Stegostoma tigrinum: one gene and its partner. The main gene of each other region encodes a partner of the protein of the gene in region 2 in a complex. Links are inferred from orthologs where the notes say so. Each region holds a gene or a part of one and is shown on either strand. Other genes may lie near its edges.

The links. The genes of interacting proteins can lie anywhere in the genome.
Region 1: taf1c (region 2) and polr1h share a complex: the UniProt entries of both Homo sapiens proteins name them as parts of the pol I pre-initiation complex. The link is inferred for Stegostoma tigrinum from reciprocal best matches to the Homo sapiens genes TAF1C and POLR1H.

What each region holds. Positions count from the first base shown.
Region 1 is NC_081387.1:14,296,743-14,307,856, forward strand, and holds the start of polr1h (DNA-directed RNA polymerase I subunit RPA12), read right to left. Parts: upstream 4,595-11,114; 5' UTR 4,513-4,594; coding exon 4,484-4,512; intron 1,037-4,483; coding exon 906-1,036; intron 1-905. Other genes in the region: pre-mRNA-splicing factor ATP-dependent RNA helicase DHX16, read right to left, coding at 7,751-7,879, 10,857-11,030. UniProt on the Homo sapiens protein: Core component of RNA polymerase I (Pol I), a DNA-dependent RNA polymerase which synthesizes ribosomal RNA precursors using the four ribonucleoside triphosphates as substrates. Can mediate Pol I proofreading of the nascent RNA transcript.
Region 2 is NC_081354.1:138,935,481-138,946,399, reverse strand, and holds the start of taf1c (TATA box-binding protein-associated factor, RNA polymerase I, subunit C), read left to right. Parts: upstream 1-6,296; 5' UTR 6,297-6,429; coding exon 6,430-6,567; intron 6,568-9,924; coding exon 9,925-10,021; intron 10,022-10,919. UniProt on the Homo sapiens protein: Component of the transcription factor SL1/TIF-IB complex, which is involved in the assembly of the PIC (pre-initiation complex) during RNA polymerase I-dependent transcription.

The sequences.
Region 1 (11,114 bases), on a different chromosome or scaffold from region 2:
TCCTTCATCAGGTGAAATGCCCCATACATGTCCTGGGTGTGTTTGATGGAGACAGTGCGGAGGGAGCTTCAATCAGTGTCTAACCCAACGCTGCCCCTGTTCTGGGAGTGTTTGCGGGGGACAGCGTTGAGATAGCTTTACTTTCTGTCTGCGACAGCAGTGAGGTCTAGTTTCAGTTTAAAAGAGTAGACAGCCTTATTTTGGTCTAACCCATCCTGTATTTGCAGTGGGGGGGGGGGGGGCCTTTAGAACTGCAGTGCATGTCAGAGCACAATTCAACCTCTTTTTCATGTATTATCTTGAGAGTGACACTCTGCCTGAGCGAGGCAGTGTTGTAGTGGTGTTGAGGCCAGACGAGTAGCCCAGTACCCTGGGCTAATAATCTGGGGACTTCCTTACAAATTGCACCATGATACCAGGTAACACTTGATCTGGAACAAAAATGGCAACCATGTCAGCAAATCACTGTCAACTGTCTCAAAAACCCATCTGGTTAACTAATGCCCTTTAGTGAAGAAAATCTGCCGTCTTCACCAGGTCTGGCCTACTCTAGACTCAAAGTGATGGCGCTGACTCTTGACTGCCTTTTGGACAACAGATATCACCCTGGCCAGTGATGCTCACATGCAATGGACAATGTTTTAAAAAATTCAGGCTTTCTCCTCAGCCCTACGGATGTGATGGTGGTGGTGGTGGTCGGGGAGGGAACATGTTTTCTCTGACTGGTACCGAGCCTCATGAGTGACTTGCCTTGGATGCACTGGAAATTTCAAGGGCATTTCTGCCTAGACAACCAGCAAACTCCTCCACCCCCAACCCAAGTATGTGTTGAATGTTAGCAGAGGTCGAGTTTGATTGCAACGTCAGCTCCTGAACTGTTTACCCTCATGCACTCTGACACTCACTGTGCACGCTGATTTTAAAATCACACTTGCGACACACAACGTAGTCCTCAGGCCCAGGGAGCGGCAGGATCGTTCCACACTCGGGGCAGAAATCTGGGTCACACTGGAAACAAGAATCGGCCATTGCGGGTCTGTGGGGATGAGAAGAATAAGAGCGAGACCTTATCAAAACACGTACAAGATTCACAAAGGGCACAGCGTTGTAGATGTGGAGAGATCGCTTCACTGTCAGGGGAAGTCCAGAATTAGATGGAATAATCTCAGAGTGTGGGCTCACTGAGAAATTTGTCCTCTCAGACAGCAGTGAATCTATTTATTGCAGATGGCTGTCAGATCTGAGCAACTGAGTATATTGAAGGCTGAAACAGACTGAGGGAGCGCCGCACTGCCGGAGGGTCAGGATTGAGGGAGTGCCGCACTGTCGGAGGGTCAGTACTGAGGGAGTGCCGCACTGTCGGAGGGTCAGTACTGAGGGAGTGCCGCACTGTCAGAGGGTCAGTACTGAGGGAGTGTCGCACTGTCAGAGGGTCAGTGCTGAGGGAGTGTCGCACTGGCAGAGGGCCAGAGCTCAGGGAGTGCCGCACTGTCGGAGGGTCAGTACTGAGGGAGTGCCGCTCTGTCAGAGGGTCAGTACTGAGGGAGTGTCGCACTGTCAGAGGGGCAGTACTGAGGGAGTGCCGCACTGTCGGAGGGTCAGTACTGAGGGAGTGTCGCACTGTCAGAGGGTCAGTACTGAGGGAGTGTCGCACTGTCAGAGGGCCAAAGCTGAGGGAGTGCCGCACTGTCGGAGGGTCAGTACTGAGGGAGTGCCGCACTGTCGGAGGGTCAGTACTGAGGGAGTGCCGCACTGTCGGAGGGTCAGTACTGAGGGAGTGCCGCACTGTCGGAGGGTCAGTACTGAGGGAGTGCCGCACTGTCGGAGGGTCAGTACTGAGGGAGTGCCGCACTGTCGGAGGGTCAGTACTGAGGGAGTGCCGCACTGTCGGAGGGTCAGTACTGAGGGAGTGCCGCACTGTCGGAGGGTCAGTACTGAGGGAGTGCCGCACTGTCGGAGGGTCAGTACTGAGGGAGTGCCGCACTTCGGAGGGTCAGTACTGAGGGAGTGCCGCACTGTCGGAGGGTCAGTACTGAGGGAGTGCCGCACTGTCAGAGGGTCAGTATAGAGGGAGTGCTGCACTGTCAGAGGGTCAGTACTGAAGGTGGACCGCGCTGCCAGAGGGTCAGTACTGAGGGAGTGCTGCACTGTCAGAGGGTCAGTACTGAGGGAGCGCCGCACTGTCAGAGGGTCAGTACTGAGGGAGTGTCGCACTGTCGGAGGGTCAGTACTGAGGGAGTGCCACACTGTCAGAGGGTCAGTACTGAGGGAGTGCTGCACTGTCAGAGGGTCTGTACTGAGGGAGTGCCGCACTGGCGGAGGGTCAGTACTGAGGGAGTGTCGCACTGTCAGAGGGTCAGTGCTGAGGGAGTGCTGCACTGTCAGAGGGTCAGTATTGAGGGAGTGCCGCACTGTCAGAGGGTCAGTACTGAGGGAGTGCCGCACTGTCAGAGGGTCAGTACTGAGGGAGTGCCGCACTGTCAGAGGATCAGTACTGAGGGAGTGCCGCACTGTCAGAGGGTCAGTATTGAGGGAGTGCCGCACTGTCAGAGGGTCAGTACTGAGGGAGTGCTGCACTGTCCGAGGGTCAGTACTGAGGGAGTGCTGCACTGTCAGAGGGACAGTACTGAGGGAGCGCCGCACTGTCCGAGGGTCAGTACTGAGGGAGTGCTGCACTGTCAGAGGGACAGTACTGAGGGAGTGTCGCACTGTCAGAGGGTCAGTGCTGAGGGAGTGCTGCACTGTCAGAGGGTCAGTATTGAGGGAGTGCCGCACTGTCAGAGGGTCAGTACTGAGGGAGTGCCGCACTGTCAGAGGGTCAGTACTGAGGGAGTGCCGCACTGTCAGAGGATCAGTACTGAGGGAGTGCCGCACTGTCAGAGGGTCAGTATTGAGGGAGTGCCGCACTGTCAGAGGGTCAGTACTGAGGGAGTGCTGCACTGTCCGAGGGTCAGTACTGAGGGAGTGCTGCACTGTCAGAAGGACAGTACTGAGGGAGTGCCGCACTGTCAGAGGGTCAGTACTGAGGGAGTGCCGCACTGTCAGAGGATCAGTACTGAGGGAGTGCCGCACTGTCAGAGGGTCAGTACTGAGGGAGTGCTGCACTGTCAGAGGGTCAGTACTGAGGGAGTGCTGCACTGTCAGAGGGTCAGTACTGAGGGAGTGCCGCACTGTCAGAGGGACAGTACTGAGGGAGTGCCGCACTGTCAGAGGGTCAGTACTGAGGGAGTGCCGCACTGTCAGAGGGTCAGTACTGAGGGAGTGTCACACTGTCAGAGGGTCAGTACTGAGGGAGTGCCGCACTGTCAGAGGGTCAGTACTGAGGGAGTGCCGCACTGTCAGAGGGTCAGTACTGAGGGAGTGCCGCACTGTCAGAGGGTCAGTACTGAGGGAGTGCCGCACTGTCAGAGGGTCAGTACTGAGGGAGTGCTGCACTGTCAGAGGGTCAGTACTGAGGGAGTGCCGCACTGTCAGAGGGTCAGTACTGAGGGAGTGCCGCACTGTCAGAGGGTCAGTACTGAGGGAGTGCCGCACTGTCAGAGGGTCAGTACTGAGGGAGTGCCGCACTGTCAGAGGGTCAGTACTGAGGGAGTGCCGCACTGTCAGAGGGTCAGTACTGAGGGAGTGCCGCACTGTCAGAGGGTCAGTACTGAGGGAGTGCCGCACTGTCAGAGGGTCAGTACTGAGGGAGTGCTGCACTGTCAGAGGGTCAGTACTGAGGGAGTGCCGCACTGTCAGAGGGTCAGTACTGAGGGAGTGCCACACTGTCAGAGGGTCAGTACTGAGGGAGTGCCGCACTGTCAGAGGGTCAGTACTGAGGGAGTGCTGCACTGTCAGAGGGTCAGTACTGAGGGAGTGCCGCACTGTCAGAGGGTCAGTACTGAGGGAGTGCCGCACTGTCAGAGGGTCAGTACTGAGGGAGTGCCGCACTGTCAGAGGGTCAGTACTGAGGGAGTGCCGCACTGTCAGAGGGTCAGTACTGAGGGAGTGCCGCACTGTCAGAGGGTCAGTACTGAGGGAGTGCTGCACTGTCAGAGGGTCAGTACTGAGGGAGTGCCGCACTGTCAGAGGGTCAGTACTGAGGGAGTGCTGCACTGTCCGAGGGTCAGTATTTAAATGGGATGTTAATCTTTTTGGGTGGATACAGAGGAGGTTTTTATGAAGATCACGGGGAGGGGAGTGGGGAGCACCCCGCACCCCCCGGATTTCCTGACCGACAATAATCTCCCTTCACAAAGACAAACAGTTTGCACAGAGATAGAAAGGACAGCAGCAGCAGGAGGCCATTCAGCCCATCGAGCGTGCTGCGCCATTCTTCCCGATGAGGACTGATTATCCGACACAACGGCATCAATCCTGGTTTCTCGCCCTAACTTTTACTGTTGGTTAGATCCCACTTATCCCCATTCGTCTGCGATCCTTCCAGAATCCAGAAAGTGCTTCCAAATGCTCTTAATTGCGAAAGGCGCTACACAAATGCAACCTTTTTTTCCTGTCTCCGACGACATCCATCCCATTTAAGACAAAATCGCACCGTTCGTCTCCGACCGCTACTGCCTGGCCCTGAAACTGTAAACGTGCCTCGACGTCCAGAATCACCTGCGGCCTAGCGCTCAGGCTCCCGGCTTGGAAACAGGAAACATCGCCCTCCGGCCGCATACGCGTAGGGGGGGGAGGCTACCGCCACCAGCAGCGCCTCCCGGCGGTGGGGAGGTACCGCCAACCCGGTCACGGCGACGATGAGGGGATGGCGCCTCCAGGGGCACCGCCTCCCGGTGGTGGGGATGTACCGCCAACCCGGTCACGGCGACGATGAGGGGATTGGACCTCCTGGGGCACCGCCTCCCTGCGGAGCCGGGGAACAGCCAGGCCGTTTATGGCGGCGGCGGGGGTTGGATCCTCCACGTTCAGCGCCTCCCGGCGGTGAGGAGGAAACCGCCAGCCCGGTTATGGCGGAGGTGGGTGTTTGAACCTCCAGGGGCAGCGCCTCCCCGTGTTGAGGAGGAAACCTCCAGCCCGGTTATGGCGGCGGCGTGAGTTGGAACCTCCCGGGACAGTGCCTCCCGGCGGTGGAGAGGAACCCTCCAGCCCGGTTGCTTGCTCGGGTCGGACCAGCCATCCTCCCACAACACAAACAGAAGGGAGGAACCTCCGCCGACAGCGCCGCCTGACGAAGTGGAGGGACATCTTCGCTCGATGGCGACGGCGCCGCCCCGTGGAGGGGAGGAACCTCTTCATCATGCACTGACTTGGTGTTTCGGGGGAGGGGGGCGGGGTTCAGGCAGCTCAGTTGGATCGCACTTGGCTCAGAATAACTGACCCTCACCATGGGTTCGATTCCCGCTTCAGCAGCATCCTTCAGCTGTACCTCCCGCCTTGCTTCTCCTGTATTCGATACAGAGAGGAGAAGGTTTCCCACTCACATTAGTGGGATATCGTGACAGGATCCTGCCAGAGGGACCCAGTGATAGGGTCCATCGGTGAGACACTGAATATAGACTGTCACAGGGACCCAGTGATAGGGTCCATCGGTGAGATACTGAATATCGACTGTCACAGGGACCCAGTGATAGGGTCCATCGGTGAGACACTGAATATAGACTGTCGCAGGGACCCAGTGATAGGGCCCATCGGTGAGACACTGAATATCGACTGTCACAGGGACCCAGTGATAGGGTCCATCGGTGAGATACTGAATATCGACTGTCACAGGGACCCAGTGATAGGGTCCATCGGTGAGATACTGAATATAGACTGTCGCAGGGACCCAGTGATAGGGTCCATCGGTGAGACACTGAATATAGACTGTCGCAGGGACCCAGTGATAGGGTCCATCGGTGAGACACTGAATATAGACTGTCACAGGGACCCAGTGATAGGGTCCATCGGTGAGATACTGAATATCGACTGTCACAGGGACCCAGTGATAGGGTCCATCGGTGAGATACTGAATATCGACTGTCACAGGGACCCAGTGATAGGGTCCATCGGTGAGATACTGAATATAGACTGTCGCAGGGACCCAGTGATAGGGTCCATCGGTGAGACACTGAATATAGACTGTCGCAGGGACCCAGTGATAGGGTCCATCGGTGAGACACTGAATATAGACTGTCACAGGGACCCAGTGATAGGGTCCATCGGTGAGACACTGAATATAGACTGTCGCAGGGACCCAGTGATAGGGTCCATCGGTGAGATACTGAATATAGACTGTCGCAGGGACCCAGTGATAGGGTCCATCGGTGAGATACTGAATATAGACTGTCGCAGGGACCCAGTGATAGGGTCCATCGGTGAGACACTGAATATAGACTGTCACAGGGACCCAGTGATAGGGTCCATCGGTGAGACACTGAATATCGACTGTCACAGGGACCCAGTGATAGGGTCCATCGGTGAGATACTGAATATAGACTGTCGCAGGGACCCAGTGATAGGGTCCATCGGTGAGACACTGAATATAGACTGTCACAGGGACCCAGTGATAGGGTCCATCGGTGAGACACTGAATATCGACTGTCACAGGGACCCAGTGATAGGGTCCATCGGTGAGACACTGAATATAGACTGTCGCAGGGACCCAGTGATAGGGTCTATCGGTGAGATACTGAATATAGACTGTCGCAGGGACCCAGTGATAGGGTCCATCGGTGAGACACTGAATATAGACTGTCACAGGGACCCAGTGATAGGGTCCATCGGTGAGATACTGAATATAGACTGTCGCAGGGACCCAGTGATAGGGTCCATCGGTGAGACACTGAATATAGACTGTCGCAGGGACCCAGTGATAGGGTCCATCGGTGAGACACTGAATATAGACTGTCGCAGGGACCCAGTGATAAGGTCCATCGGTGAGATACTGAATATAGACTGTCGCAGGGACCCAGTGATAGGGTCCATCGGTGAGATACTGAATATAGACTGTCGCAGGGACCCAGTGATAGGGTCCATCAGTGAGATTCCCCGAGTACAGTCGGCTGTGAGGGCCCTGTGACGAGGTCTACCTGTGAGACTCTGAATATAGATGGCTGTGACAAAGATCCCCAGTCCTGTCACAAAGATACTCTGACAAGAGGATGCCGTGGAAATTAAGGGACTGGAGCACTTGGCACCGCTATTTTACAGATTACAAATGCTGACAAACAAAAAAGCAAGAGCTCTGACAGAAAGACAAACTGTATTTCTTCTTGTATAAAAAAGTGCCAAAACTTTACTTGAAACAAGCGGCAGGTCCGGACTGCCGCAGACAGCTTGTGCTGTACAGACCTCATGCGTGCAATTCTGACAATGAGCCACTGCTCCTGAGTGTCCAGGCTCCTGCTACAGACAACACAAGTGGCTTCAGCGTCGAAATCATGAGTGTTGTCCTTCTTGGTTATTGATCCCGGTGCCTCAGATCCACCGTGGTCACGGCACTGCAATGGCAAAGGCAATCATGAACTGAGAGGCACCGCTCTCACCCAAACCTATCTCGCTGCTGGCCAAAACGCAGAGTAACATTCCTCCCGGGAACGGAACGGGGAGGGGGTGGGTAGTGGTTCCAATTCAATCTGAATTTGGCATCGAGGTGCCTGCACGATGCGAGGGGATTCAAGGCCTTCCCTCAGGCAGCACTTGCTCCATTTAATCCGACACAATCGCAGTGAATGCTGGTGATGGGCTGTCACCCTGCTGTGGAGAGTGGGTGCACAGCCAGCATGGCTCATGCCCCTGGCATGGCAGGTCTGATACGCACCCAGGACCCTCAGCCGAGCTCCTCCCGGGTCTTGCCCACTTTCTTGGGCATCTTCTTGCTGGCCGCATCCTGCAGCTCCTTCGATTTGTAATAATGCGGGGCCACCTCCAACAGCCAGTTGCTGTCGATCTCAATCACCTGAGAGACAGACAGACAGAGAGATTGAGGGGTGCTGCATGGAGTCTTAAGGTCACCACGGCTCAGCTGATGGATGGGACACTCTGGAAGCCATCATGTGGATGGCTAAAGACAGAGGAGTAGAGCTGACAGTCCGAACAGAAAAAGCAGCACAGATCAGAATATAGGAAACACGGTTTGCAGATTACTCCAGAAGTGGTGGTTTTGGACTGTGAAAGTTATCCAAGATTACAGAGAGATCTTGATCAATTGGGCCAGTGGGCTGGGAAATGGCAGAAGGAGTTTAATTTGAACGAATGCGAGATATTGCATTTTAGTAAAATAAACAAGGGCAAGATTTAACCAGTTAATGGTAGGGCCTTGGATAGTGTTGTCGAGCAGAGACACCTTGGAGTTCAGGGGCATAATTTTCTGAAAGTTGCGTCACATGTGGACAGGGTGATTGATAAGGCATTCACAGCTTGCTTGCCTTCACTGTGCAGACCACTGAGTATAGGATTTGGGATAACATATTGATGTTGTACAGGATGTTGGTGAGGTCAGTTTTGGAACAACGTGTCCAGTTCTGGTCGCCCTGTTATAAGGAAGGATATTATTAAGCTGGAGAGGGTTCAGGAAATGTTTATAAGGATGTTACCGGAACTGGAAGGTTTAAGTTGTAAGGAGAGGGTGGATGGGCTGGGACTTCTATCATGAACATAGGAGGTTGAGGGGTGAGCTCAGAGAGGTTTACAAAATCATGAGTGACATAGATAAGGTGAAGAGCAAAGGTCTTTTCCCTAGGGTGGGATATTTTTCAATACTAGGGGGCATATTTTTAAGGTGAGAGGAGAAAATTTTAAAAGGGACATGTGGGATAATCTTTTCACACAGAGGGTGGTTCCAGGAAGTGGTAGAAGCAGGTACAGTTACAGCATTTAAAAGATGCTGGACAGATACATGATTAGTTAAAGGTTTAAGAGCAATATGGGCCAAACGCAGGCAACAGGTACTGGTTTAGTTTGGGGAAACTTATCGGTAAGAACTGGTTGGACTGAAGGGTCTGTTTTGGTGCTGTCTGACTGAGTGTTGGTGCAGTGCCAGGCTCTATCATTAGGTGGCGCATTGTCCACAGTTGACAAGCACTCGGTATTGGTGAGAGAGTCAGGAAAGTCACAGGCTCATGCCCCACTCTATGGACTCGGTCATACAATCCTGGTTGACAATCTCTTCCAAGAGTAATGGTTGCCGCTGTAGGTCCCCCCTTTTACTGGGAGTTGCCTCCAGGGAATGTGTCTCACTGAAGTGTACGAGCGTGATTCTCCCACATGGGGAAACCCAAAACAAGGGGACGCAGTCTCGATACATGGGGCCAATCGTCTTTTTTTTAAGGACAGAGGCGACAAGAAGTGACTTCATTCAAAGGACTGTGAATATTTGGAATTCGCTATCCCACAGGGCAATGGACACTTCATCACTGAATCCATTTGAGGCTGGAATCATGGGAATTTTTGATCGATCAGGGAGTTAAAGGATATGGGAGGCATCGACGCTCCCACTGAACGATAATGCAGGTCAAAGGTGGCCCACAGTCACTCCTATTTCTTTAGAGCTCTGGTATAAAAAGTTCCACGTGGCCACAAACCTGAAGAAGGGGAGTTTTCCTGCATCATAGAATTCCTACAGTGTGGATGCAGGCCACTCGGCCCACCAAGTCCACATTGACCCTCTGAACAGCATCACACTCGGACCCAAATCACCTGTATTTCCCATGGTTAATCCAACTAGCCTGCACATCCCTGAACACTATGGGCAATTTAGCATAGCTCAGCCCACCCTATCGTGCACATCTCTGGACTGTGGGAGGAAACCCACGTAGAAACGGGGACAACATGCAAACTCCACACAGGCAGTTGCCTGAGCGTGGAATCGAACCCAGGTCCCTGGCACTGTGAGGCAGCAGTCCTAACCACTGAGCCGCCATGACTGCCCTTCAGTCACATCTTCTTGAATAAAAAAATCACAAACCGTCTACACAGCTGCTTGGGCTCAATGGCCTCGTTTCATGTCGGAGGAGCCTAACAGACAGGGGTAAGATAAGGCCATTCAGCGCCTCGAGTCTGTTCCATCTGAAAGTCGCCTCAATTCCTTTCCTGCCCTGTAACACTCGATTCCCATAAATCCGTCATCCTCAGCCTTGAACAGGTGCAAATCTGGGAAAGAATTCTACAACTCACCACCCCTCGCGGAGAAGAAATTCATCCTCGTCTCCATCTTAAATGACAGATGTCTGATTCTAAAACTGTGACCTGACAGAACTTAATCCTTCTGTGGAGGTGCTGTGGTTGCCCTTTGGTGGAGAAAGTCAGAAGTCACACAACGCCAGCTTTTGGTCCAACAGCTTTATTTGAAATCACAGACTTGTGGAGCGCCGCTCCTCCGTCATGTGGAATGAAACTCTGAAAGCCTGTGATTTCAAATAAACCTGTAGGACTATAACCTGGTGTCGTGTGACTCCTGACTGTATATTTTTCGTTTAAATTGAGGAGGACTTTAGTGTTAATTTTTATCCTTATTCCATGAAGGTAATACTTACTAATTCAGTTTCTCTTACTCCTTTGTACCTAAGTTGCTCTGTACTGAGGTACCCTCATATCTGAGATGATGTTGTGTGTGGAGACACTATACACTTTACATGGTGCTTGAGTAAACATGACAATAGAACCTAAATCTAAAATCTCCCTCCCATTGAGCAATAATATCCTTAATCACACTGTATCCTTAATGTGTGTCACAATGGTTATGCGGGCGTGGTGGACTCGGGAGGTGTTGGCTTTACGAGAACGCAGGCTGGGCCGGTGATGCCCGCTCACGCAGCTGTGTCCAGCACCAAGTGTCAGAGTCAAGCTGCAGGGGAGGAAGCAGGAAATGGTGGCGTAGCAGAGGAGAGGTGAGAAACAGACGGGCGCAGGGAAGGTGCTGTCAGTTGGGAGTGTACCTGTCTCATGAACTCCTTTGTGGTGAAGACGAGCTCGTGATAGATGAGCCAGCGGGGCTGCTCCTCGAACAGGCTGCTGTTGGGGTGGACGTAGACTGCCTGCTGGTGCTTCACTGTCTTGTAGCCGGTGCGTGTGAGCCGAGCGGTGTGGTAGAAAAAGCCGGCGGTAATAGTCTGGAGGCACCGAGTGGGAAAAGGAACCGGGCATGAGAGCCGTCTCCTGACCGTCTTTCAGAGATAACTTCCTCTCGGCTAGCT
Region 2 (10,919 bases):
CCCCTCGCATTTGCTCGGATTGAACTTCATCTGCCATTTATCTGCCCAACTCTCCAGTCTATCTATATTCTGCTGTAACCTCTGACAGTCCCCTTCACTATCAGCTACTTCACCAATCTTAGTATCATCAGCAAACTTGCTGATCAGACCACCTACACCTTTCTCCAGATCATTTACACATATCACAAACAACAGTGGTCCTAGCACAGATCCCTGTGGAACACCACTGGTTACAGGTCTCCAATTTGAGAAACTCCCTTCTGTGTCCTGTTGCCCAGCCAGTTTTTTATCCATCTAGCTAACACACCCTGGACCCCATGTGACTTCACTTTCTCCATCAGCCTGACATGGGAACCTTATCAAATGCCTTACTGAAGTCCATGTATACAGCCTTTCCCTCATCAATCAACTTTGTCACGTCCTCAAAGAATTCTATTAAGTTGGTAAGACATGACCTTCCCTGTACAAAACCATGTTGCCTATCACTGATAAGCCCATTTTCTTCCAAATGGGAATAGATCCTATCCCTTAGTATCTTCTCCAATAGCTTCCCTACCACTGACGTCAGGCTCACCGTTCGATAATTACCCGGATTATCCTTGCCGCCCTTTTTAAACAAGGGGACAACATTAGCAAGTCTCCAGTCCTCTGGGACCTCAGCCGTGTCTAAGGACACTGCAAAGATATCTGTTAGGGCCCCGGCTATTTCCTCTTGCTTCCCTCAGTAACCTGGGATAGATCCCATCCGGACCTGGGGACTTGCCCACCTTAATGTCTTTTAGGATACCCAACACTTCCTCCTTCCTGATGTCAACTTGACCTACACTAAGCAAACATCTATCCCTAATCTCAACATCCGTCATGTCCCTCTCCTTGGTGAATACCGATGCAAAGTACTCATTAAGATTGTCACCCATTTTCTCTGACTCAGCGCATAACTTTCCTTCTTTGTCCTTAAGTGGGCCAATCCTTTCTCTACTTACCCTCTTGCTCTTTATATATGAATAAAAGGCTTTGGGATTTTCCCAGCAATATCTCATGTCCTCTCTTAGCCCTCTTAATCCCTTTTTTCAGATTCGCTCTACATTCCGATATTCTTGCAAAGCTTTGTCTGTCTTCAGTCGCCTAGACCTCATGTATGCTTCCTTTTTTCTCTTGGCTAGTCTCACAATTTCACCTGTCATCCATGGTTCCTTAATCTTGCCATTTCTATTCCTCATTTTCACAGGAACATGTCTCTCCTGCAAGCTAATCAACCTCTCCTTAAAAGCCTCCCATATATCAAATGTGGATTTACCTTCAAACAGTTTCTCCCAATCTACATTCCTCAGATCCTGCCGAATCTTGGTATAGTCGGCCTTCCCCCAGTTTAGTACTCTTCCTTTAAGACCACTCCTATCCTTGTCCATGAATATTGTAAAACTTACGGAATTGTGGTCGCTATTTCCAAAGTAGTCCCCTACTGTAATATCAACTACCTGGCCAGGTTCATTCCACAGCACCAGGTCCAGTATGGCCCCTTCCCGAGTTGGACTACATACATACTGCTCTAGAAAACCATCCTGGACACACCTTACAAATTCTGCTCTGTCTTGACCCCTAACACTGAGTGAATCCCAGTCAATGTTGGGAAAATTAAAATCTCCCATCACCACCACCCTGTTTCTCCTACACCTTTCCATTATCTGTTCACATATTTGTACCTCTATCTCACACTCGCTGTTGGGAGGCCTGTAGTACAGCCCCAACATAGTTACTGCATCCTTCCTATTTCTGAGTTCTACCCATATTGCCTCACTGCTTGAGTCCTCCATGGGGCCCTCCTTCAGTGCAGCTGTGATATCGTCTGTGACCAGTAATGCAACTCCTCCACCCCTTTTACCTCCCTCTCTATCCCGCCTGAAGCATCGATATCCTGGGACAACAAGCTGCCAGTCATGCCCTTCCCTCAACCAAGTCTCAGTAATAGCAATAACATCATACTTCCAGATACCGATCCAAGCCCTAAGCTCATCTGCCTTATCTACTACACTTCTCGCATTAAAACAAATGCACCTCAGACCACCTGTCCTTTTGTGTTCATCATCCACTCCCTGACTACTATTCTCTTTAGTCACACTGACTCCATTATCTAGTTTCCTATAGGCTTTCATTACTACCTCTTTTCTGTCCAATATTTGGTTCCCACCCCCCCTGCCACATTAGTTTAAACCCTCCCCCACAGCATTAGCAAAAGCACCCCCAAGGACATTGGTTCCAGTCCGGTTCAGGTGTAGACCGTCCAATTTGTAATAGTCCCACCTTCCCCAGAACCAGTTCCAATGTCCCAAAAATCTGAACCCCTCCCTCCTGAACCATCTCTCAATCCGCTGCCCAAATAAATGAAGACCACTCCCGCTCGAGGTAAGCTTTTTAAAGTGGGGAAAAAAACCTTACCTTCCCGGCAGCCTCCTGGTGCTCTCTCTGTCTGGCTCTCTCGTAAGACTTTCCCTCCATACCAGGCAACATCCTAGTAAACCTCCTCTGCATCCTTTCCAAAGCTTCCACATCCTTCTTATATCTTCTACAGAACTGTACGCAATACTCCAAGTGCGGCCGCACCAGAGTTTTGTACAGCTGCAGCATAACCGCTTGGTTCCGGAATGCGATCCCTCTATTAATAAAAGCTAAAACACTGTATGCCTTCTTAACAGCCCTGTCAACCTGGAGTAGAGACCAGATTAACATTCCCTCAGTGATTTGGAAGTAGGTGAGCACTTTGGTGATAGCGATCACAATTCTGTTATGTTTACTTTAGTGATGGAAAGGGATGGGTGTATACCACTGGGCAAGAGTTATAGCTGCGGGAAAGGCAGGGGATGGGCACATTAGAAATGTGGAGCTTATTCAAGGAAAAGCTCCTGTGTGTCCTAGATAAGAACATATAGAACATAGAACATCACAGCACAGTACAGGCCCTTCGGCCCTTGATGTTGTGCCGACCTGTCTTATCGATCTGAAGCCCATCTAACCTACACTATTCCATGTACGTGCATATGCTCATCCAATGACGACTTAAATGTACCTAAAGTTAGCAAATCTACAGCCGTTGCAGGCAAAGCATTCCATTCCCTTACTACTCTCTGAGTGAAGAAGCTACCTCTGACATCTGTCCTATATCTTTCACCCCTCAATTTAAAGCTATGCCCTCTCGTGCTCGCCATCACCATCCTAGGAAAAAGGCTCTCCCTATCCACCCTATCTAACCCTCTGATTATTTGATATGTTTCAAATAAGTCACCTATCAACCTACTTCTCTCTCATGAAAACAGCCTCAAGTCCCTCAGCCTTTCCTCATAATACCTTCCCTCCATACCAGGCAACATCCTAGTAAATCTCCTATGCACCCTTTCCAAAGCTTCCACATCCTTCTTATAATGCGGTGACCAGAACTGTACGCAATACTCCAAGTGCGGCCGCACCAGAGTTTTGTACAGCTGCAGCATAACCTCTTGGTTCCGGAACTCGATCCCTCTATTAATAAAAGCTAAAACACTGTATGTCTTCTTAACAGCGCTGTCAACCTGGGTGGCAACTTTCAAGATCTGTGTACATGGACACCGAGATCTCTCTGCTCATCAACACTGCTAAGAATCTTACCATTAGCCCTGTACTTTGCCTTCCGGTTATTCCTACCAAAGTGCATCACCTCACACTTGTCTGCATTAAACTCCATTTGCCACCTCTCAGCCCAGCTCTGCAGCTTATCTATGTCTCTCTGCAACCTACAGCATCCTTTGTCACTATCCACAACTCCACCGACCTTAGTGTCGTCTGCAAATTTACTAACCCATCCTTCTACGCCCTCATCCAGGCCATTTATAAAAATGACAAACAGCAGTGGACCCAACACTGACCCTTGCGGTACACCACGAGTAACTGGTCTCTAGGATGAACGCTTCCCCATCAACTACCACCCTCTGTCTTCTTTCAGCAAGCCAATTTCTGATCCAAACTGCTATATCTCCCACAATCCCATTCCTCTGCAATTTGTACAATAGCCTACTGTGGGGAACCTTATCGAACGCCTTGCTGAAATCCATATACAACACATCAACCGGTTTACTCTCATCTACCTGTTTAGTCACCTTCTCAAAGAACTCAATAAGGTTTGTGAGGCACGACCTACCCTTCACAAAACTGTGCTGACTATCCCTAATCAATTTATTCTTTTCTAGATGATTATAAATCCTATCCCTTACAACCTTTTCCAACACTTTACCAACAACTGAGGTCAGGCTCACTGGTCTATAATTACCAGGGTTGTCTCTACTCCCCTTCTTGAACAGGGGAACCACATTTGCTATACTCCAGTCATCTGGCACTATTCCTGTAGACAATAAGTATGTACCTGTCAGGCAGGGAGGAAGCTGCAGAGCGCGGGAGCCTTTTTCCTAGGATGGTGACGGCGAGCATGAGGGGGCATAGCTTTAAATTGAGGGGTGAAAGATATAGGACAGATGTCAGAGGTAGTTTCTTCACTCAGAGAGTAGTAAGGGAATGGAACGCTTTGCCTGCAACGGTAGTAGATTTGCCAACTTTAAGTACATTTAAGATGTCATTGGATAAGCATATGGACGTACATGGAATAGTGTAGGTTAGATGGGCTTGAGATCGGTATGACAGGTCGGCACAACATCGAGGGCCGAAGGGCTTGTACTGTGCTGTAATGTTCTATGTAGATGCTGTTGAGATTTTCCAGCAACTTCTGTTTTTGTTTCCTAAGGATAACCCACCAAGCCTGCACACCCCTGCATGCTTTGGACAATTTAGCATGGCCAATCCATCTAACCTGCACATTTTTGGATTATGGGAGGAAATCTATGCCAAGGGGGGAGAATTTTCAAATTCCACACAAACCGTTGCCCAAAGCTGGAACTGAACCCAGATCTGTGGTGCCATGTGACAGCAGTGCTAACTGCTGAACCATTGTGCTATGAATTTTATACCCGTCAAAACTCCTTTTATTTGAGACTGACCTTGCAGTAGTTCAGAAATGTTCGTGCTGAACTGAATTCTGGATAATGAGAAAAACAATAGTAATTAGAGATTTGATAGTGCACAGTTGATTCTGTGGCTGCAAGAGAGACTCCAGGATTGTATCAGAGATAGTAAGAACTGCCGATGCTGGAGAATCTGAGATAACAAGGTGTAGGACTGGATGAACACAGCAGTTCAAGCAGCTTCAGAGGAGCAGGAAAGCCGATTGGACCTGAAATGTCAGATTTCCTGCTCTTAAGATGCTGCTTGGCCTGCTGCGTTCATCCAGCTCCACACCTCGTTAATTCAGGGAGCTAGGTAGTATACTGAAAAGTAGGATCTCTTAAAATAGTAATTTCAGGATTACTCCCCATGCGATGTGCTTCTCAGGCTAGGAACAGAGACATTACAATTCAATATGTAGCTAAAGATGCTGCTTGGCCTGTTGGGTTCGTCCAGCTCCACACTTTGTTATCGTTAAAGAACTGGTGTAGGGGGCTTGGGCTTCAGATAAGTGGGTCATTGGGATGCCTTCCAGGTAAGGGGAGACCTGAACAGGCAGGACAAATTGGACCTAAACTGGAGGGGCAACAATATCTTGGCAGGGAGGTTTAAACTAGTGTGGTGGGGCTATGATCTGGAGTAGCAAGTCAGTAAATATACAGGCTGGGGAAGGGCTTGAGTCAAAAGCAAATATAACGCAGAGGAAGACATAACAAAGTGTGGAGCTGGATGAACACAGCAGGTCAAGCAGCATCTTAGCAACTCCACACTTTGCAGATGCTTGAGAATCCAAGATAACAGTTCGCATTATCTCTGATACAATAACTCAGAGTAAGAGCAGTCAGGGACAGGTTGCGGAGCTCAGCGGAACTGGAGGCTTGGAGTGCATTTGCTTCGATGCAAGTTGTATAACAGGCAAGGCAAATAAACTGGATTAATGTATACAATTACGATCTTGTTGCAATCACAGAGATATGGTTGAAAGAGGGATAGGATTGGAAGCTTAACTTTCCAGTATATCGATGCTTTAGTCGAGACAGAGGCGGAAGCAATAGAGGTGGGGAGTTGCATTACTGGTTAAAGGATGCATCAGCTGTGTTCGGTTCAAGTCTAGACAGCCTGTGGTGCTCTCGGAACAAGCACACACCCACGGAGCGGCTTCTGCCGGAGGGCGTTCCGTTGCCCTGGGTAACGCAGGGAGCTCCACTTCACTCGCCCTCACCAACATGGCGTCCGCGAGCACCCACAGCAAAGTCGCGCGCTGCTGGGCTCCGCGGCGGGTCGAACAATTCGCCCGTGAAGGGCCCGCCCCCTCATTGTTGCATCCGCCGGAAGTCGGTCCTCGCTTCGGGCAGCACGCGCAGTCGGGTTTCGGTACGGGTGCCGTACGGGCTCAGCGACGGCGGCATGGAGAGCGCATTCCCGTACTCCCTTTATCCCAGCTTCTACAACTCCGGTCCCTCCGCTTGGAACCCCTGGGAGCCAGGGGGCTGGGGAGAGTATGAACATGTCCAGCCGTTCTGTGCGGAGGGCGGGGGCCAACAGGTGAGGGTCGAACTGCGGGAGCGGGAAACGCCGCCTCCCCTCCTGGGGAGCAGCTTTGGGGAGAGATGGGGGCAGTAACGGCTCGTTGCACCACCTCACGCTGGAACAACAAAGCAATCAAACATACTTGTACTGGGTCTCCCTCATGCTGGGGACGCCTCGCCGTTAATACTGAAGACTGCTTGCTAGGTTAGAGCAGCTGGAGAATCTGAGATAACGAGGTGTAGAGCTGGATGAACACAGCAGGCCAAACAACATCCATAAGACCTAGGAGTGTAAGTGAGGCCATTCGGCCCAACAATTCCACTCCGCCATTTAAACCATGGCTGATGGGCATTTCAACTCCACTTCCCTGCACTCTTCCCCCGTAGCCCTTGATTCCTTTTGAGATCAAGAATTTGTCGATCTCTGCCTCGAAGGCATCCAACGTCCCGGCCTCCACTGCACTCTGCGGCAATGAATTCCACAAGCCCACCATTCTCTGGCTGAAGAAATGTCATCTCATTTCAGTTTTAAATTTACCCCCTCTAATTTTAAGGCTGTGCCCATGGGTCCTAGTCTCCCTGCCTAACGGAAACAACTTCTTAGCATCCACCCCTTCTAAACCATACATTATCTTGTAAGTTTCTATTAGATTTCCCCTCAACCTTCTAAACTCTAATGAGTACCATCCCAGGATCCTTAGTCGTTCATCATATGCTAAACCTACCATTCCAGGCATCATCCATGTGAATCTCTGCTGGACACGCTCCAGGGCTAGTATGTCCTTTCTGAGGTGTGGGGCCCAAAATTGGACACATTTAACGTGGTTACGTGTTTCGTACATCTAAGTCATTGCAGTGTGGAGCTGGAGGAATGTCGACTCTCCTGCTCCTTTGATGCTGCCTGGCCTGCTGTGTTCCTCCAGCTCCACACTATTATGTTATCTCAGCCGTGATCTTGTTGAGTGGTAGAACAGGCTTGAGTGCAGAAAGGTAAATCCTGACCCCTATTTTCATAGATGGTGGAAGATGAGTCAAATTTTCAAGCAGTGGAAAGTGAAAATTACAAGAGGGCACCCCAGTTATGAGAAGGAATAGCTGCAGGGAAGGTAATACTAATCTATCAGAGGTAACAATGTGTGGGGCTGGATGAACACAGCAGGCCAAGCAGTGCTCCTAAGATGCTGCTTGGCATGCTGTGTTCATCCAGTTCCACAATTTGTTACCTTGGATTCTCCAGCATCTGCAGTTCCCACTTTCTCTGATCACAAATCTATCAGATATTTGTTTTGAGTTGAAAAGCATTTCATAAAATTAGATTCTACACAGGAACTTCAGATGAAATGTAGAGATAATCAGGTGAAACTTTGCTGTCTCAATAATATTTCTGCTCAAGGGGGAAGTTTGAGTTAGTTCTTTTTCAATCTTTTTATATCCCAGGAATGAAGGGCTTGTCATATGAAGAGCCAGAAGCCACATGATACCAGGTTATAGCCCAACAGGTTTACTTAAAACCACAAGCTTTTGGAGTGTAGCCCCTTCATCCGATGGTTCTGGTGTTGTGTGACTTCTGACTTTGCCCACCCCAATCCAACACAGGCACATCCATATCATACGAAGGGTGGGTTAAGGACTCTGGGTCTGTACTCGACGGAGGTTAGAAAGATGGGAGGAGATCTCATTGAAACCTAGAGAATGCCTAGAGACCTGTGTAGAACAAGTTTTGACTAGGGAATGGTCACAGTTTTTTTCCTATTCATTTGTGGGATGTGGGCATTGCTGGCTGGCCAGCATTTATTGCCTGTCCCTGGTTGCTCTTGAGAAGGTGGTGGTGATGATCTGTTTTCTTGAACTGCTGCAGTCCACATGCAGTGGGTTGACCAACAACGTTATTGGGGGGGAGTTCCAGGATTTTTGACTCAGCCAACAGTGAGGGAGCAGCAATATATTTCCTAGTCAGGATGAGGAGGAGCTTGGTAGGGTGGTCTCTGCCGCTGTCTTTTCTGGTGCCTGGGTCAATACCAGATGCTTCATACATTTTCATTTCATTGAGACTTTGTAGTGATTGGTACAACTGAATGGCTTGCTTGCCATTGCAGAGGGCAACTGAGAGTCAACCACATTGCTGTGGGGCTGGAGTCACATGTAGGCCAGACCAGGTGAGGATGATGGATTTCTTTCCCCCAAAGGGTATTAGTGAACCAGAAGGGTTTTTCTGACAATTGACAATGATTTCATGGTGATCAATGGGATTTGAACCTAGGTCTCCAGAACATTAGCTGACTGTCTGGGTTAATGGCTTTGAAATTGCTTCAGGCACACCAAAAACTACATCACCAATATATATTATCAGGAAAAGCAGGGGCCTCAATACCGAGCCCTGGGGATCTCCACTACAAGTCTTTCTCCAGCCCAAAAAATATCATTTCACCATTATTCCAGGTTTCCTTTCACCCATTCAATTTTGCATCCACTTTGCTACACACCCCTTTATTCCATGTCCTGTAAGTCTCTTCACATCTGTGGTGTGGCTCTGTATCAAGCACCTTGTGAAAGTCTGTGTACGCCATATCAACGACATTACCTCTTTGAACATTGTGTTACCACTTCAAATTGTCCAGTAAGTTGGATAAACACTATTTCCCAAGAAATCTGTACTGACACTTCCCAATGAACTTATCATTTTCCATGTGACTATTCATTCTAGCTTGAATAATTGTCTTTAGAAGTTACTCATCACTGAAGTTAAACTGACAGGTCTGTAATTGCTAGTAGGGTTAATGGCCTAGTAATAGTACCACTAAGCCATCGCCTACCCACTGTGAAGAGATGACCCTTTAGAATTGTATTGAGGAATTTCTTCAGCCAGAGGATGGTGAATCTGTGAAATTCATTGCTACAGAAGCCTGTGAAAGCCAAGCTATTTGAGTATATTTAAAACAGAAGACAGGTTCTTGATTTGTGACAGGATCAAGAGTTACAGGGAGAAGGCAGAAGAGTGGGGTTGAGAAACCTATCAGTCATGTTTGGATGGTGGAGCAGCCTTGATGGGCCAAATGGCCTAATTCTGCACTTTTATCTTATGATCTATAATGCTGAAAAGAGACTCTTTTAAAAATCATTTGGTCATACAATTTGCCTTTCCAATCAATGAGTATTCTTTTTCTTTTGTAGTATAAATTATTGTGATCATTTGGTGTTCTTGCACTCGTCCTGACAAATGCAGGATGAAAATCGTCAGCAATGCACCGTTTTTCAGCAAAATTCAAGTCCTCACGACAAAGTGACTGGTTAAATCTTTTTAAAGTTTCATTTTCTTTGAATCATGGCATTTGAATGTTTCTTTTTGTATATACTCACACAACTGTTATTGCAGGAAACTGAATTAAAATGGTCAGCCCTGAAAAGTCTGAAGCGAGAGAGTTGGGAGCCATTGGAACCCATTGCAGTTCCACTACTTCCAGCCAAAACAGGTAATGCAAAGTTGGTTTCATTAGTCAGCTAAGTTGACAGTAACATTATGTAAGAAACGAGTGAGGGCTCTTGGATGAACAGCATTATTGTGAAACACTTTGACATTTAGCTTATCTTTTCATCCCCACTGTTTTACTCCTCTCGTTTGCCATATAGCTTTCCACCATGTGATAAGTTGTTTATAGTGGGAACTGAAGCAAAAGGCAGCAGGTGCTGACTATCTGAGAATTAAATAGAGCGCAAAAAGCCTCAGCTGGTCAGGTAGTATCTGGAAGAAGCTGAGCTGAGTTTGACGCTGACAACCTTTCATTATAACTGGAACAGGTCAATGATCTGCAATGCAAACCTTAACTTGAATGTTATGTTCCAAAAATACGAATTGCTAGAGAAACTCATCAGGACTGGCAGCATAATTGGAGAGAAAGCATAGTTAACTTTTCAAGTCTAGCAAACCTTCTTCAGAACCGATAATAGCTAGGAAATAGTGGTACGTGTGCTGAAGACAGTGAGTGGAGAAAAGAAGTGAGCAGATAGATGGAGATGGAACTCAAAGACAGAGAATGACAGGCAGACAAAGAGATGGGTGATAACATGCTAGGGAAAAAGAAAAGCTGATAACGGGGACCATAAGTGTAGGTGAAAATGAATTGGCTGTGCTGAGAGCAACCTGCGTGATGACCAGGCCTGGGATGTGGGGGTGGATAAAGTTAATGGAAAGAGGTTAGCAGGCTCTAAAATAATTGAGACCTGAAGACTGCAGGGTCTCCAAGTGGAAAACGAGGTGTTGTTCTTCCAACTCGCATTGAGCCACGCTGAAACTCTGCAGCAGGCCTGAAACAGAAATTCTGGCAGTGGAACACAGTCGTGTGTTGAAGTGGCAAGGAGTTGCAAGCTCAG